Linked DNA regions of Macaca fascicularis. The protein of the gene in region 2 interacts with the protein of the main gene of each other region in a pairwise test. Links are inferred from orthologs where the notes say so. Each region holds a gene or a part of one and is shown on either strand. Other genes may lie near its edges.

Region 1 (4,574 bases), on a different chromosome or scaffold from region 2:
TGTAGTGGCATTTGCCTGTAGTCCCAGCTACTCAGGAGGCTGAGGCAGGAGAGTCACTTGAACTTGGGAGGTGAAGGCTGCAGTGAGCCCAGATGGTGCCACTGCACTCCAGCCTGTGTGACATAGTCAAACTCTGTCTCAAAAAAAAAGAAAAAAAGGAAAAGAAAGAGAAAGAAGGAAAGAAAGAAGAAAGAGCGAGACAGAGAGAAAAGAAAAGAAAAGAAAGAAGCATTGATATTGACATTTACATAGGGAGGGGAGGGGTCCCAAAGCCCCAGCTCCACCACCCAAACTCCAGGTCCCAGGTAGGAAGCAGAGGCACTTTCTCTGTGCCCCTTTATGGCAGGGGTGGGGAGGTTGGGGGTAGAAAAAGGATGGGGGTCCTCTCGTATCATTTTCTAAATGTTGGGGGATTTAAATCTTGATGCATCTGGGTTCCTTGGGAACTTAATGGAGGGCGTACACTGCAGGCCAAAAGCAGTTCTCTCAAAAGCAGTTCTCTCTGCACAGGGGGCCTCTGGGCCTGGAGAGCGGGGACAGGAGCCCAGAGAGTCTGCTGCCTCCGATGCTGCTTCAGCCCCCTCAAGAAAGTGTGGAGTCTGCAGGGCCTCTAGATGTGAGTACCCCTTCTGCTGAAACAGGGGCATGAGACCTGGTGGGGTCTAGCTCTCTGTGGAGCCTGGAGAGGGCACCACTGACCCAGAGCTCTCCTCAGGTGCTGGGCCCCAGTCTCCAAGGGCGAGAATGGACCCTGATGGACTTGGACATGGAGCTGTCCTTGGTAAGAAGTGGATCCGGGAGGGCAGAGGCCAGGGGTGGCTGAGCCAAGCCCTCTGGTCCATAGCTGTTCTCTGTGAGCCAGAGCCATGTCTCTAGGAGAATTGCCGCAGTGATTTCCCAGCTGTTCCCCTCAGCTGCTAGGTCCCCTCCCCAGCTGCTCCCTGCGGTTCTCACACAGATGCAGCCCTTGGTTCCAGAGCCGGGTGAGCCTGAGCTGGCGGTCAAGGGGTTAAATTCTCCAAGCCCAGGTAATGGTTGTGATGACTCATACCTGGGAGGACGCCGTGATTGGGCTGAGCTACCTTGATTGAGTGAGGGGGCAATCTGCAATTTGCAGGGAAATCCTGAGTTCAGGCTGCCCTGCAGAGCGCGTTCATTGAGCCACCCGTGCCCTCACCATTGGGCGAGAGTGGGGAGTTTAAGAATGGATGCTTCATCCTAACTGAGCAGAAGGCAGGCAGGGAGGGCTCTCCTTCCCTGAAGAAAGGAGGGGGAACCTTTCCCCTGGTGAGCACAGCCCCGCTTCTCCTAGGGAAGGACCCCACGCTCGGGGCCCCACTCCTGCTGGATGTCCAGGCAGCCTTGGGAGGCCCAGCCCTGGGCCTGCCTGGGGCTTTAACCATTTACAGCACTCCTGAGAGCCGGACCGCCTCCTACTTGGGCTCTGAAGCCAGTCCCTCCCCCTGAGACCCCGCGCCTCTGAAGGGGCTTGGAACCAGTCCGCGGCTGCACATCCTTCTTGGCTTCCTGGCGCCCCCTGGCGGGAGTGAGCGAAGCCCCTACTATTCAACGGCCTCTCTCCACTACCCCGACGAACCCTGCACATAAACTCCATTTTTTTTTCTGTTTCGCGTCTCTTTTCTCTATCGACCAGGCAGCACAGGAGTTGTGGGTGGGGGGTGATTTTGCACTGTAGAAGCGTCCAGATACTAGGTCTTTAATAGAGGAACCCCAGGAGGGTGGAGGTGCTTGGGGATCCGGTGTCTAGCTCCCTTGCTTAGGCCCGGATCCAGGGCTGGCGCGGCGCCGCTGCAATCTCTGGGAAGCGGGGGCTTCTGAGTCGCACTCAGCTCTGCAATGCATGCGTTCTGTGATCCTGGGTGAGTTGGTACCCTTCTGTGAACTTCGTCTGTGACAGGCAGAGAAGAGGGGTCGATGACAAGATAGATGGAAAGCACCTGGAAATTGGCAGGCCCTGAGTGGGCACTGGACGTGTGGGGCCGCGGGCCGAACTGCCCCCTCCCGGCCTCATCTCCTGGTGCGCCCCGGGTGGGAAGGGAAAGCTGACTACGTGCACGTCCCCAGCCCGCGCGCGGCTTCCGCGGCGTGGCTCCCAGTGCCCGGGGAAGAAGCCCTCACCCTCCCTATTCCCAGCAGCCCTGGCCGCCCCGCCCCCGCCGCAGCTGCTGCACCCACCCCCACCCTGCCCGGGCCTTTCTGCACCGTCATCTCCTGCCCCGCCGAGGCTCGACCCGTGAGTGGGGCCGCCCAAAACGGGCCAGACCTGGAGCCCCACTCCCGGCTGTGGGAGGGACGGGAAACCGAGATTGGGCAAAATCAGCGCCCCGTCACCCGCTGCGGCCCTCGGGGTGAGGTCTGTGGACCCCGCCCTGCCGCAGGACTCTCAAGCTCTGGGACTGGGTGAGCTCTGGGAGGTAAGGCGTGGGGCGGGGAATCCGTGCGGCCGCACATGCGCAAAGGCTCTTCAGTGACCCAAGACCCTGGCTTCCCCGCCAAAGAGCCCGCGCTGCTAGTTGGGGTTGGGGGCTAGGGCCCAGCTCCACACCCCGCCACGTGGCTCTCTGGGAAGCATCGGACCTGTCACCCTCGAAGGACTGGCCGCTAAATAACTTCGGTATTGAGAGCTCTGAGAGCCTCAAAGGGAGGGCCCAGACCAGCTGGAGTCACTACCCCTAGACAGGATAAAGGGCAGGACTTGGGGTCATAGGAGGAGGAGGCTAACATGAAAACAACGTAGGCTGGAGAGAAGGAGGGGGCAATCCAATCTGCACCCTCCCTGTGTCTGTCCCAAGTAGGTGCTGTCCCCCTCTCCCTTCCTATGCCCACCAATTGGAGGGACACTCTTAGGAAGCCTCAGTTGAAGAAAGCAGATAATCTGCACGTACACAGTGCAGTGATGTCAGTTAATGCGGTGGTGAGGACATATGTTGTTCACTGGGTACACAGAAGAAGGAACCACCTGCCCTTGGGACACTTAGACATTGGTGTAGACAAGGGAACATTTGAGTCCCGGAGGATGGATAGGTTCATGAAGAGGAGGGAGGGGGAAAGGATTCCAGTCTTAGCGATCAGCATCAGCAAAGGCTCCGAGGTGCCAGAGGCATAGTGAGTTCTCCCAGCCCTGACTCGTGGAGGGAAGCTGGGAAGGGCCTGGCTGTCCAGAGTGGTGGGAGGAGGCTAGAGTAGCCAGACCAGATACTTTTGGTTCTCTCAGATGGGCAGTGGGGTTGGCGGGGGGAGGTAGATAGGTATTTAGGATGGAATTCTGCTAGACAGGAAAATATAGTTAAGTTCCTCATAGTTCAGGCTGGAGCAAGTAAGATTCCAGTTTTACCACTGAATCTCTGAGCCTGTCTCTTTCCTCATCTGTAAAACAGGAACAGCAATCCTAGCCCAGAGAGTTGTCAAAATCACTGTGCTATAGGGCCTAGTGGAATGGGAGTGAGAGGGGCTCAGAGGAACTGTTACAGGACATGAGGTGACGATGGTGGGGTGGCAAGGCAGGAGCTGATGGAGACTCACTGAGAAGGGAAGCAATACTCATCACAGATGGGACATAAAGGGAGATGGAAGGGCAGGGGGTAGTCCTGGTCTCAGCTTGGTGGCCCGGGGGAAGGGCTTCAATGGGAGGGAGCCAGGGTGTGACGGGGGAGGTATAGCATGACACCAGAGGGTACTGAGAGAGACCTGGGAGGCAGGATGGCAGCTAGGACCAAATCCTCTCTCCCAGAGAAGGTCCAGCCTCCTAGAGCCAGGGAAGGAGGCGGAGGAGGGACAGCAAAAGGAAGAAGAGATGGGAGGATGCCTTGTGAACAAAGCCAAGGCAGGGAGGAAGGGAGGTTTTATCGGGGTGGGGGTGGGCTGAGGGCATGGTCCAAGACCTGATGTCTTTGCCTCCTAATGCCGGGGGTCTTGCTGGCTGGGTAAAGTCACTCATAGGAATGGGCCATAATCCTTGGTTGGCAATAAATGGACAAAGCAACTGAGTGCGGTGGCTCATGTCTGTAATCCCAACACTTTGGCAGGCCAAAGTGGGTGGATCACAAGGTCAGGTGTTCGAGACCAGCCTAGCCAACATTGTGAAACACCAACACCATCTCTACTAAAAACACAAAAAATTAGCTGAGCGTGGTGGCAGGCGCCTGTAGTCTCAGCTACTTGGGAGGTTGAGGTAGGAGAATCACTTGAACCCAAGAGGCGGAGGTTGCAGTGAGGAGAGAATGTGCCACTGCACTCCAGCCTGGGCAACAGAGTGAGACTCTGTCTCAAAAAAAAAAAAAAAAAAAAAGGATAAAGCAAATTAATTCTCCCTAATAGCTGCTGTTGGTAGAGATAGTCTCTCAAGAGTAATCCCAGCACTTTGGGAGGCTGAGATGGGAGGATCGCTCAAGGCCAGCAGTTCGAGACCAGCCTGGTCAATATAGCAAGACCAGGCCCGGCAGGTGGCTCACGCCTGTAATCCCAGCACTTTGGGAACCCGAGGCAGGTGGATCACGAAGTCAGGAGTTTGAGACCAGCCTGGCCAACATAGTGAAACCCCGTGTCTACTAAAA
Region 2 (3,774 bases):
ACCCTTTTACAGATAAGGACTCTGAGGCTCAGAGAGGATACCTGTGTGGTGAGCAAGTGGGGGAGCCAAGGTTTGATCCCCACCAGCCTGACTCACAGCCCCTGTCTCTGTAATACTCAGTTATGCTTGTCAAAGTGTGGAGAAATGCTCCACTCTTCTCATTCCGAACTCTTGCAGTTCTATAGCAATAAGCATAGGCTGAGGCAGGAGAATTGCTCGAACCAGGAGATGCAGATTACAGTGAGCCGAGATCGCGCCACTGCACTCCAGTCTGATTCTACAGATGAGGAAAACGAGGCTGAGAAAAGCAAAGGCACTGTCTCCTCATCCTCCAAGTACCCAATGGGCATTTCCAGCGTTCCCCAAGCTCTCGTGTCTATCAGTTGAGCAAGTGCCTGAACTTCATGAACCCTGACACTGACCACCACCTTCCCTTTTTCTCTTTGAGATCCTTGACTTCATGCAATTCTAGGGAGAAGCCTCCTGCCAGGGCACCCAGATCTGGTTACCCTATAGCCATAAACTGAAGTCAGTGGGCTCCTGACAGCCTGAGGGGAGAATATAAACTCTTGCTCCAGTGAGCCCCAAGAACCCACCAGGAAATGACTCATCTCCTTATCCTTAGTCCTCAGCACCATGAGTAGATGAGCATGTGGTCTGCCGGGCTGCAGGAGGCCCAACTCTGCTCCATGGATGCTGCTCAGTGATGTGCAGAGACCTGTCCTTCAGGAACAGGTTCCCATATCATGAGACATCTGCAGGACCTTTCTGATGGGGGCCAGTCCCTCCTACTCCCATAGGATTTGTTGTTTTGTTTTTTCTTTCTTTTTTTGAGACAGAATCTTGCTCTGTCATCCAGGCTGGAGTACAGTGGCACAATCTCAGCTCACTGTAATCTCCACCTCCTGGGTTCAAGCAATTCTCCTGCCTCAGCCTATGCTTATTGCTATAGAACTGCAAGAGTTCGGAATGAGAAGGGTGGAGCATTTCTCCACACTTTGACAAGCACAGCTGAGTGTTACAGAGACAGGGGCTGTGAGTCAGGCTGGTGGGGACCAAACTTTGGCTCCCCTACTTGCTCACCACACAGGTCTCCTCTCTGAGCCTCAGAGTCCCTATCTGTAAAAGGGGCAAGAAATGGCTTTTCCTTCATAGTACTTGTTATAAAAGGAGAAAGTGCCAGGATGAGGATCTGGCCCAGTTGCTGCTCCATGGCCTCCTCCCACCTCCCTCCTTTCTCATCCAGGGCATCATTTAGGCTGACAACATGGCAAAGAGGAGTGAGCACTCTACTAGGAGTCAGCAGATGTGGGTCACACCTAGGCCACTTACTTGCTGTGACTGTCTAGGCACGGGATGCATCATCTGGGAACTTCAATGTCTCTTCCTGTAATATCTGCACAATCAGGATAAAGCCATCCTCCCTGCCTATGTCCAGGGGTTGTGGGGAGACTTGATTGTTATAATGTCGAGGAGGGAAATTAGGCCATCTCCACACACATTAAAACACACACCCCCTCTGATCCAGCAATGGCACTTCCAGTGGGCGTCTCCCACCTGAGTAAGGTCACACATGTATAAGGTCATCCACTGCAGAACTGTTTTAATAGCTCAAGGTTGGGGACAACTTACGTATCCATCAATGGAAGACTGCAAAATAAATCTGACATTTCCATAAGCTGGAGTATTCTGTAGCTATTACACAATGCAGCAGGTCTCCATCCTGATATGAAATCTCATCGAACGCTAAGGCTTACATTTGGGAGAGGTTTTCCAATCACCAATGGGTGTAACGGTCTGAATGTGAGTATTCTGAACCTTTAGGAAACTGATGAAAAGGAGAAGTGCTGGCTCCCTGCTTAGCGGTTCTGTTCAAGGAGCTTTCAGTCAGCACCTGTGATGCACCAGGCTCTTCTGTGGAAACAATGTCTAACATGGGCAGGAACGAGCCTTCCCGGAATCAGATGTGGGCTCTAGTCCAGATCCTGTCACCAACTGGTCCTGTGACTGTGGGCAAGGCCCCTGTCATCTCCTGACTTCAAGTTTCCACCTGTAACTGGGGGTTGGGCTGCATGGTCTGAGGGTCCTTCCTGCACTAATGTCCCAGGATCCGGAGTTAGAACGAGGATTCTGGTGCTCTGGCAGTAAATACAAAATGAACATCTTTGCTGCCTTAACTGAGGAACCCAAAGTCACCTAGAAGGGAGACCTCCTCCCTGGGGTGAGGGACATTCTATGATGACCCAGCTTTGTTCAGAGCCTTTAGTGACTGCATGAATCAGTCCCTAAACGATACAAGGGTTTTTCTAAAAGACCCACAGAAAATGCCCAAACCTCTGGCTTCTCCTCTTCACCAGGGCATTCAGATCAAACAGTAAATCTGTGCCTTTTAGGAATCTTCTTAGTTGATGTTTGGTGATGAAATAAAGGAAAGCACACCCCCGCTGCTCCCTGCCCTGGGTGGATTCTTATTGGAAGGGATGAGAACACAAGCTTGGTGGAGCCTGGCACACAGTAGGTTCTCAGGGAGTGCCTGTCGCATAGAGGAGACTCGGCCACACTGAGGGGGAAGTGCTCTCTGGAGGCAGCAGGTGAGCTCTGGCCCTGTGCCTGGGCAAGTCACTCTGTCAGTTCCCTCATCTGTGGAACCAAAGGGCTGGGCCCGATTTGAAGAGGCCAGGGCTACAGAGCCAGGCAGATGAAGGATGCAGATGTTCCCACCCTTTACCAGCCGTGGAGCCTTGAGCAAATAGCATGACATCTCCAGGCCTCAACTTCCCTTATCTGTAAAAGGGGGAGACATTAATTCATGAAAAGGAGCACCCACCACCACACCTGATTGTTGCTCTAAGAATGGAGGGTGTTATTATTGAGTTATTGTCACACACCAGGGGACGAAGGAGGCCCGCACTGTACTCACCACGCACAGACAGCTCAGTGCCTGCTCCAGACTTCACCTCCACGTCGGGGCTCCCTTTCCGGAACTTCACACAGTAGTAGGTGCCGGCATCTGCTGGGGTGATGTTACTGATGTGGATGGAAAAGTCCATGTTGTTTCTCTTTGTGGACTCTGAAACAGATGTTACCCGGGGAAAGTGGCCTTCCTTTTGATGGTAGATCAATTCCCGGCCTGGTCCAGCTCCTCTGAACCACTGGATGGGCCCCACAGGGATCAGGGAGGTCACAGTGCAGTTCAGAGTGGCCGAGTCTCCAGCTGCGACGGACACGGACTTCTCAGGCTGAATCACCTGCAACTCCTCCTCACCCAACACTCCTGGAAAGGAGCACAAAGCCGTCATTTTTTTTTTCCATCCTTACATGATCCTCTGTGTTGCCTCAAGTGTTTATCAATGACTTTCATCGACAGGGTGCACACCAGGAGCAGGCTGTGAGGTCAGTATACTGCGTGTATTATCTCATTTAACCCTCACAACAAACCTGCAACATGAGCCTATATTCTAAGTGGGGACACTGAGGCACAGAAAGCTAAGTGACATGGCAGAGAGTGGGTTTGAATGCTTGGAACCTCTCTGGAAGAGTCACATCTGAGCTGGGCTCTCTAATTCTAATCTGAATGAGCCAGAAGGGAGCCTGGTGTTCCAGAGAGAGGCAACAGGCTGGGCAAAGTCTCAGCGAAGGGGGCCTGGCATGTGTGGGGCTCTACAAGGCGTTAGATTCTGTTTCCGACCTGGTCCAGGATGCAGGCCCCGAGAAGGGAGGCTGTACTCAGCGGTTTGGACAGTAGGAGAATGTGGTTTGAGTTCTGGATCAGTG
Region 3 (4,443 bases), on a different chromosome or scaffold from region 2:
CCCAGCAAGTGCCGGTTCCTCTTCTGGGTGGCCCAGCCCATCTCTGACACCCACACTTACCCAGGCCTGGTGGCTGCATCATGGACATGGGGGCAAGGCAGCTCTCTGGGTGCACAGAGGCAGGAGCTGAGGCAGGGATATGGGCATCCTTTTGGGTACATCTAGTCCTAGAGCTGATCCAGGGGCCAAATGTGCAGCCAAGGCCAGGTCAACCCCAGCACTGCCCTGTGGGTGGGGGTAGCAGGGAGCCAACGGTCCAGGCCCTACATCCTGTTCTAATAGAGTGACAAGTCTGAAGAGGCTGGGGGTGTACAGGCACTGAGAAGGCAGCAGGAGGACAAGGAGCCAAACATATGGGGTGGCAGGGGAACCCAGGGAGCCGGATACACGGTGGGGGGAGTCATGGGAGTTGGACACATGGGGCAGGTGGGGGTCCAGGGACCTAGACACAGGGAGTGGGGAGGGGATTCCAGGGGGCTAGATACACAGCATGTGGGGTGGGTCCAGGGGGCTAGACACACAGGGTGGGGGGTGGATCCAGGGAGCCGGACACACACGTGGGGTGGGGAGGGAGCATCCAGGGAACCAGGTCTAGGCAGAGGCAACTGGTGCAAAGGCCCCGAGGCAGAAGAGGGTTTGGTGTGTGAGACGGGACTGAGGGCAGTGGGTGAGGGGCAGCCCCACCGGGACGCGTGGGTCCAGGAGGACGGGCTGTAGGGTGTCTGGGCTGCAGGCACGGCAGGGATTGGAGTGACCCAGTGTAACAATGTGGGTGGGGGATGACACCAGACCCCTGGTTTATTGCCCCACCAGGGGAATTCCCAGACACCAGACACCCCCTCCACTCCCACGCAGAAGTGCGGGCTGAGGGTTCGGGTGGACCAGGCTGCTCTGTCCCGGGGCCGGGCTCCGTTCATTGATCCGCAGATGGATAAGAACAGGTGCCATTTTCGGAGGATGTGAATGGTGGGGAATGGCTGGCCCTGAGGATGTTGTTCCCACAGGATGGTGGGGGCGCCTCCGGGCCCCGTCCTTTCCCCCAGTTCCCTAACCAGGATCTGAGCGGCTGCGCGCACGGCCCGGGCCCCGCCAGTCTCCGAGCCCGTGGGCGGCGCCGGGAACTCGTGCCCCGGTGGCCGCAGCCGACCCTCAGGCAGGACTCGGTGGCGCCCCGGCCCGTACAGACTCCCACGGGCAGCCTCGGCCGCCCCCGCCCCCGCGCTCCCCTCATCTCAGGGCAAACGCTCAAGACACCCCTTCGGGACCGCGAGCCGGGCGGCCTCAGGGAGCGGGCGCCTGGGGACCCTCGGCAGGGCCGGGGGCGGCGAGGGTGGGGGCGCCTCGCGCGGCGGAGCCCGCCGTCCCCATAGCCCGGAACCCAGTCCGGAGTCGCCCCGCTGACCGGTGAGGAGGCCGGGCTCCCTCCCTCGATCCGCGGCGGCGGTCGGCTCGGCCCGGGGCGTCTCTCGGGCCTGGGCGCAGCGCGGAACCCGGCGCGGCGGGAGCGGCCGGAACCCAGCGCCAGGGACCCCGTTTCCTGCCGGCGGGACCCGAGCGCTGCACCGAGCGCAGCCGGACGCGGCCGACTGACCCGGTCGCTGTGGCAACGCGGGGGGACCCGGCAGCGCTGCTGGCGGCCGTTCAGGTGAGGCGCGGGCGGGCGGCGTGGGCGGCGTGGGAGCCGCTCCGACCCCTCTTCCTGTGGAAAACCTCGGGACTTGCCGTCCTGTCAGACGAGGACCTGGAGCGCGAGGTCGACCCTCAGAGCCCGGCCGGGCCCGGACCGGGGACCCGCTCGCGGAGGCTGCGGCGGGGCGGGGCGGGAGTGTTTCCTCGGTCGCCCTTGGATGACCTGGGGCGGTGGGCGCTGCCGACCAGGGCCCCGCAACCCCGGGAGAGTTCTCCGGGTTCCGCCGCCGCCAAGGACGGCTCCGCGCCCAGGCAGCCTTGCTGTGTCTGAGTTTAAAAAAAAGAAAAAGAAAAGAAAGGCCGGGCGCGGTGGCTCACGCCTGTAATCCCAGCACTTTGGGAGGCCGAGGCGGGTAGATCGCTTGAGGCCAGGAGTTCGAGACCCGCCTGGCCAACATGGTGAAACCCCGTCTCTACTAAAAATGCAAAAATTACTGGGCGTGGTGGTGGGCGCCTGTTGTCCCAGCTACTCGGGAGGCTGAAGCAGGAGAATCGCTTGAACCCGATGTTGTAACCGAGCGAGTTATAGAGAGAACGCCACACTCTGAGACTAATTCAGGCGTTCTTTATTGCCGGCGGCGACCGAGAGACGGCTAGAGCTCGAAATTATCTCCGCCCGAAGAAGGGGCTAGATTTCTTTTTAAACCTTGGTCTAAATAGGGGACGGGGAGTCTAGCTGAAGCTATTTTTTTTTTTTTTTTTTTTTTTTTACAGAAGCAGAACAGGCAAAAAAGTTAGAAATGGTTACAGAAACAGTTACAGGAAAAAACAAAAAACAGTTTCAGGTGCAGGGGCTTCAATTACCACAAAGTGATAAACGCAGGGGCTTTGGGTACCATCAACAGAGCGCGTTCCCAGGAGCTGCTGGTACAGCTTGCTCCAGTTTCTTATCAGTAAGTGCATTCCTGGATGTGCTTGGGGTCGGCTTGCACCAGGTATGTCCTTAAGGGAGGGGAATAAGAGGCTGCAAGCAAAGAAACCAACATGGAGTCTGTCCAGCTCTCAGCTAAGAGAGAATCAATCAGGTTAAAACAAGGTAGGGTATTACACCGCGAGGCAGAGGTTGCGGTGATCCGAGATCGCGCCGTTGCACTCCAGTCTGGGAGACAAGAGTGAAACTCCATCTCAAAAAAAAAAAAAAAAAATTATCTGTAACTTAGAAAAAGATACAAAAGCAGCACAAAGATTTCCCGTGTACTCTTTACCCACAGCCCCTAGAATGCTGATCTCTTACAGAACCACAGTTCATTCAGCAACATGGAGACGCTGGCGTTCATGTTAATATAATCCCGTGATCTGGTCTCCAGTATTTATTCTCGTTTAGCAGCTGCTTCAAGGATGACTGTACCGTGGTCCAGGATCCAGTGATAAGTCCACTATTTTATAAAATGCCCCCCATTTTGGATTTCTCTGATGTTTTCTCGTAATTGATTTCATATTACTCATTTTTGGCCAGAAAACTTCAACAGGGAAATTGTGTCCTTCCCAGTGTCTTATGAGCCACAGGATGCCCCTGGCTGTTGGTGCTCATCGGGGCCCGGGGGCTGAGGTGGTGCCTGCCAAGTGTGTCCACAAAGTTGGGGTCCTTCCCTTTGTAAATAATGCATATTTTATGGGGAAATATTTTGCCACTATGTAAAAAATCTTCTTTCTTTTTTCTTTTTCTTTTCTTTTTTTTTTTTTTTAAGATGGAGTCTCTCTTCACTGCCCAGGCTGGAGTTTGGTGGCACAATCTTTGCCCACTGCAACCTCCACCTCCTGGGTTGAAGTGATTCTCTTGCCTCAGCCTCCCAAGTAGCTGGGATTACAGCTGCCCACGACCACTCCCAGCTAATCTGTGTATTTTTAGTAGAGACGAGGTTTCACCATGTTGGCCAGGCCAGTCTCAAACTTCTGACCTCAGGTGATCCACCACCTTGGCCTCCCAAAGTGCTGGGATTACAGGTGTGAGCCGCCACGTCCAGCCTTTTTTTTTTTTTTTTTTTTTTTGAGACTTGAGTCTCTTTCTCTCACCCAAGCTGGAGTGCAGTGGCTTGATCTTGGCTCACTGCAACCTCTGTCTCCCGGGTTCAAGCGATTCTACTGCCTCAGCCTCCTGAGCAGCTGGGATTACCAGCACCTGCCACCATGCCCAGCTAATTTTTATTTTTATTTTTATTTTTTTTGTATTTTTAGTAGAGACGGGGTTTCACCATGTTGGTCAGGCTGGTCTTGAACTGCTGACCCCAAGTGATCCGCCTGCCTCGGCCTCCCAAAGTGTTGGGATTACAGGCCTGAGCCACAACGCCCAGCAAGATCTTGTTTCTAACCATATACTTCTGTCACTAATTTTAGCACCCATGAGTGTTTCCCCAAAATAACTATTAATGTGCTATTTGTTAAATGATTTTTCTGTTTCCGTTACTCCTACATTTATTAGTTGGGATTCTCCTGTAAGAAAGAACCATCTCTTCTCATCAATTTTCTATTAATTTTCATTACTATATCTTTTTTTTTTTTTTTGAGATGGCGTCTCACTCTGCCATCCAGGCTGGTGTGCAGGGGTGAGGTCTCGGTGTTAGTACAAGTCTCACTCTGTCGCCCAGGCTGTGGAGTGCAGGGGTGGGGTCTTGGTGTTAGTACGAGTCTCACTTTGTCACCCAGGCTGGAGTGCAGGGGTGACGTCTTGGTATTAGTACATCTTTTTATCCCATGGATTCTAACCCATTGCTATCATGTACTTTGTGGCTCACATTGTCCAGATTAAGGTGTTAG

What was found.
Region 1: the proteins of SIRPA (region 2) and NOL3 interact in a two-hybrid assay, tested with the Homo sapiens proteins (2 studies listed by BioGRID and IntAct). The two-hybrid records come from large-scale screens. The link is inferred for Macaca fascicularis from reciprocal best matches to the Homo sapiens genes SIRPA and NOL3.
Region 3: the proteins of SIRPA (region 2) and CCDC57 interact in a two-hybrid assay, tested with the Homo sapiens proteins (2 studies listed by BioGRID). The two-hybrid records come from large-scale screens. The link is inferred for Macaca fascicularis from reciprocal best matches to the Homo sapiens genes SIRPA and CCDC57.

Annotation. Positions count from the first base shown.
Region 1 is NC_088394.1:63,189,926-63,194,499, forward strand, and holds the start of NOL3 (nucleolar protein 3), read left to right. Parts: upstream 1-1,762; 5' UTR 1,763-1,861; coding exon 1,862-1,880; exon of another isoform or gene 1,881-1,909; intron 1,910-2,219; exon of another isoform or gene 2,220-2,435; intron 2,436-4,574. Other genes in the region: HSF4 (heat shock factor protein 4), read left to right, coding at 511-616, 716-781, 959-1,028, 1,313-1,467.
Region 2 is NC_088384.1:85,388,185-85,391,958, forward strand, and holds part of SIRPA (tyrosine-protein phosphatase non-receptor type substrate 1), read right to left. Parts: intron 3,275-3,774; coding exon 2,921-3,274; intron 1-2,920. UniProt on the Homo sapiens protein: Immunoglobulin-like cell surface receptor for CD47. Acts as docking protein and induces translocation of PTPN6, PTPN11 and other binding partners from the cytosol to the plasma membrane.
Region 3 is NC_088390.1:88,640,411-88,644,853, reverse strand, and holds the start of CCDC57 (coiled-coil domain-containing protein 57), read left to right. Parts: upstream 1-1,600; 5' UTR 1,601-1,645; intron 1,646-4,443. UniProt on the Homo sapiens protein: Pleiotropic regulator of centriole duplication, mitosis, and ciliogenesis. Critical interface between centrosome and microtubule-mediated cellular processes. Centriole duplication protein required for recruitment of CEP63, CEP152, and PLK4 to the centrosome.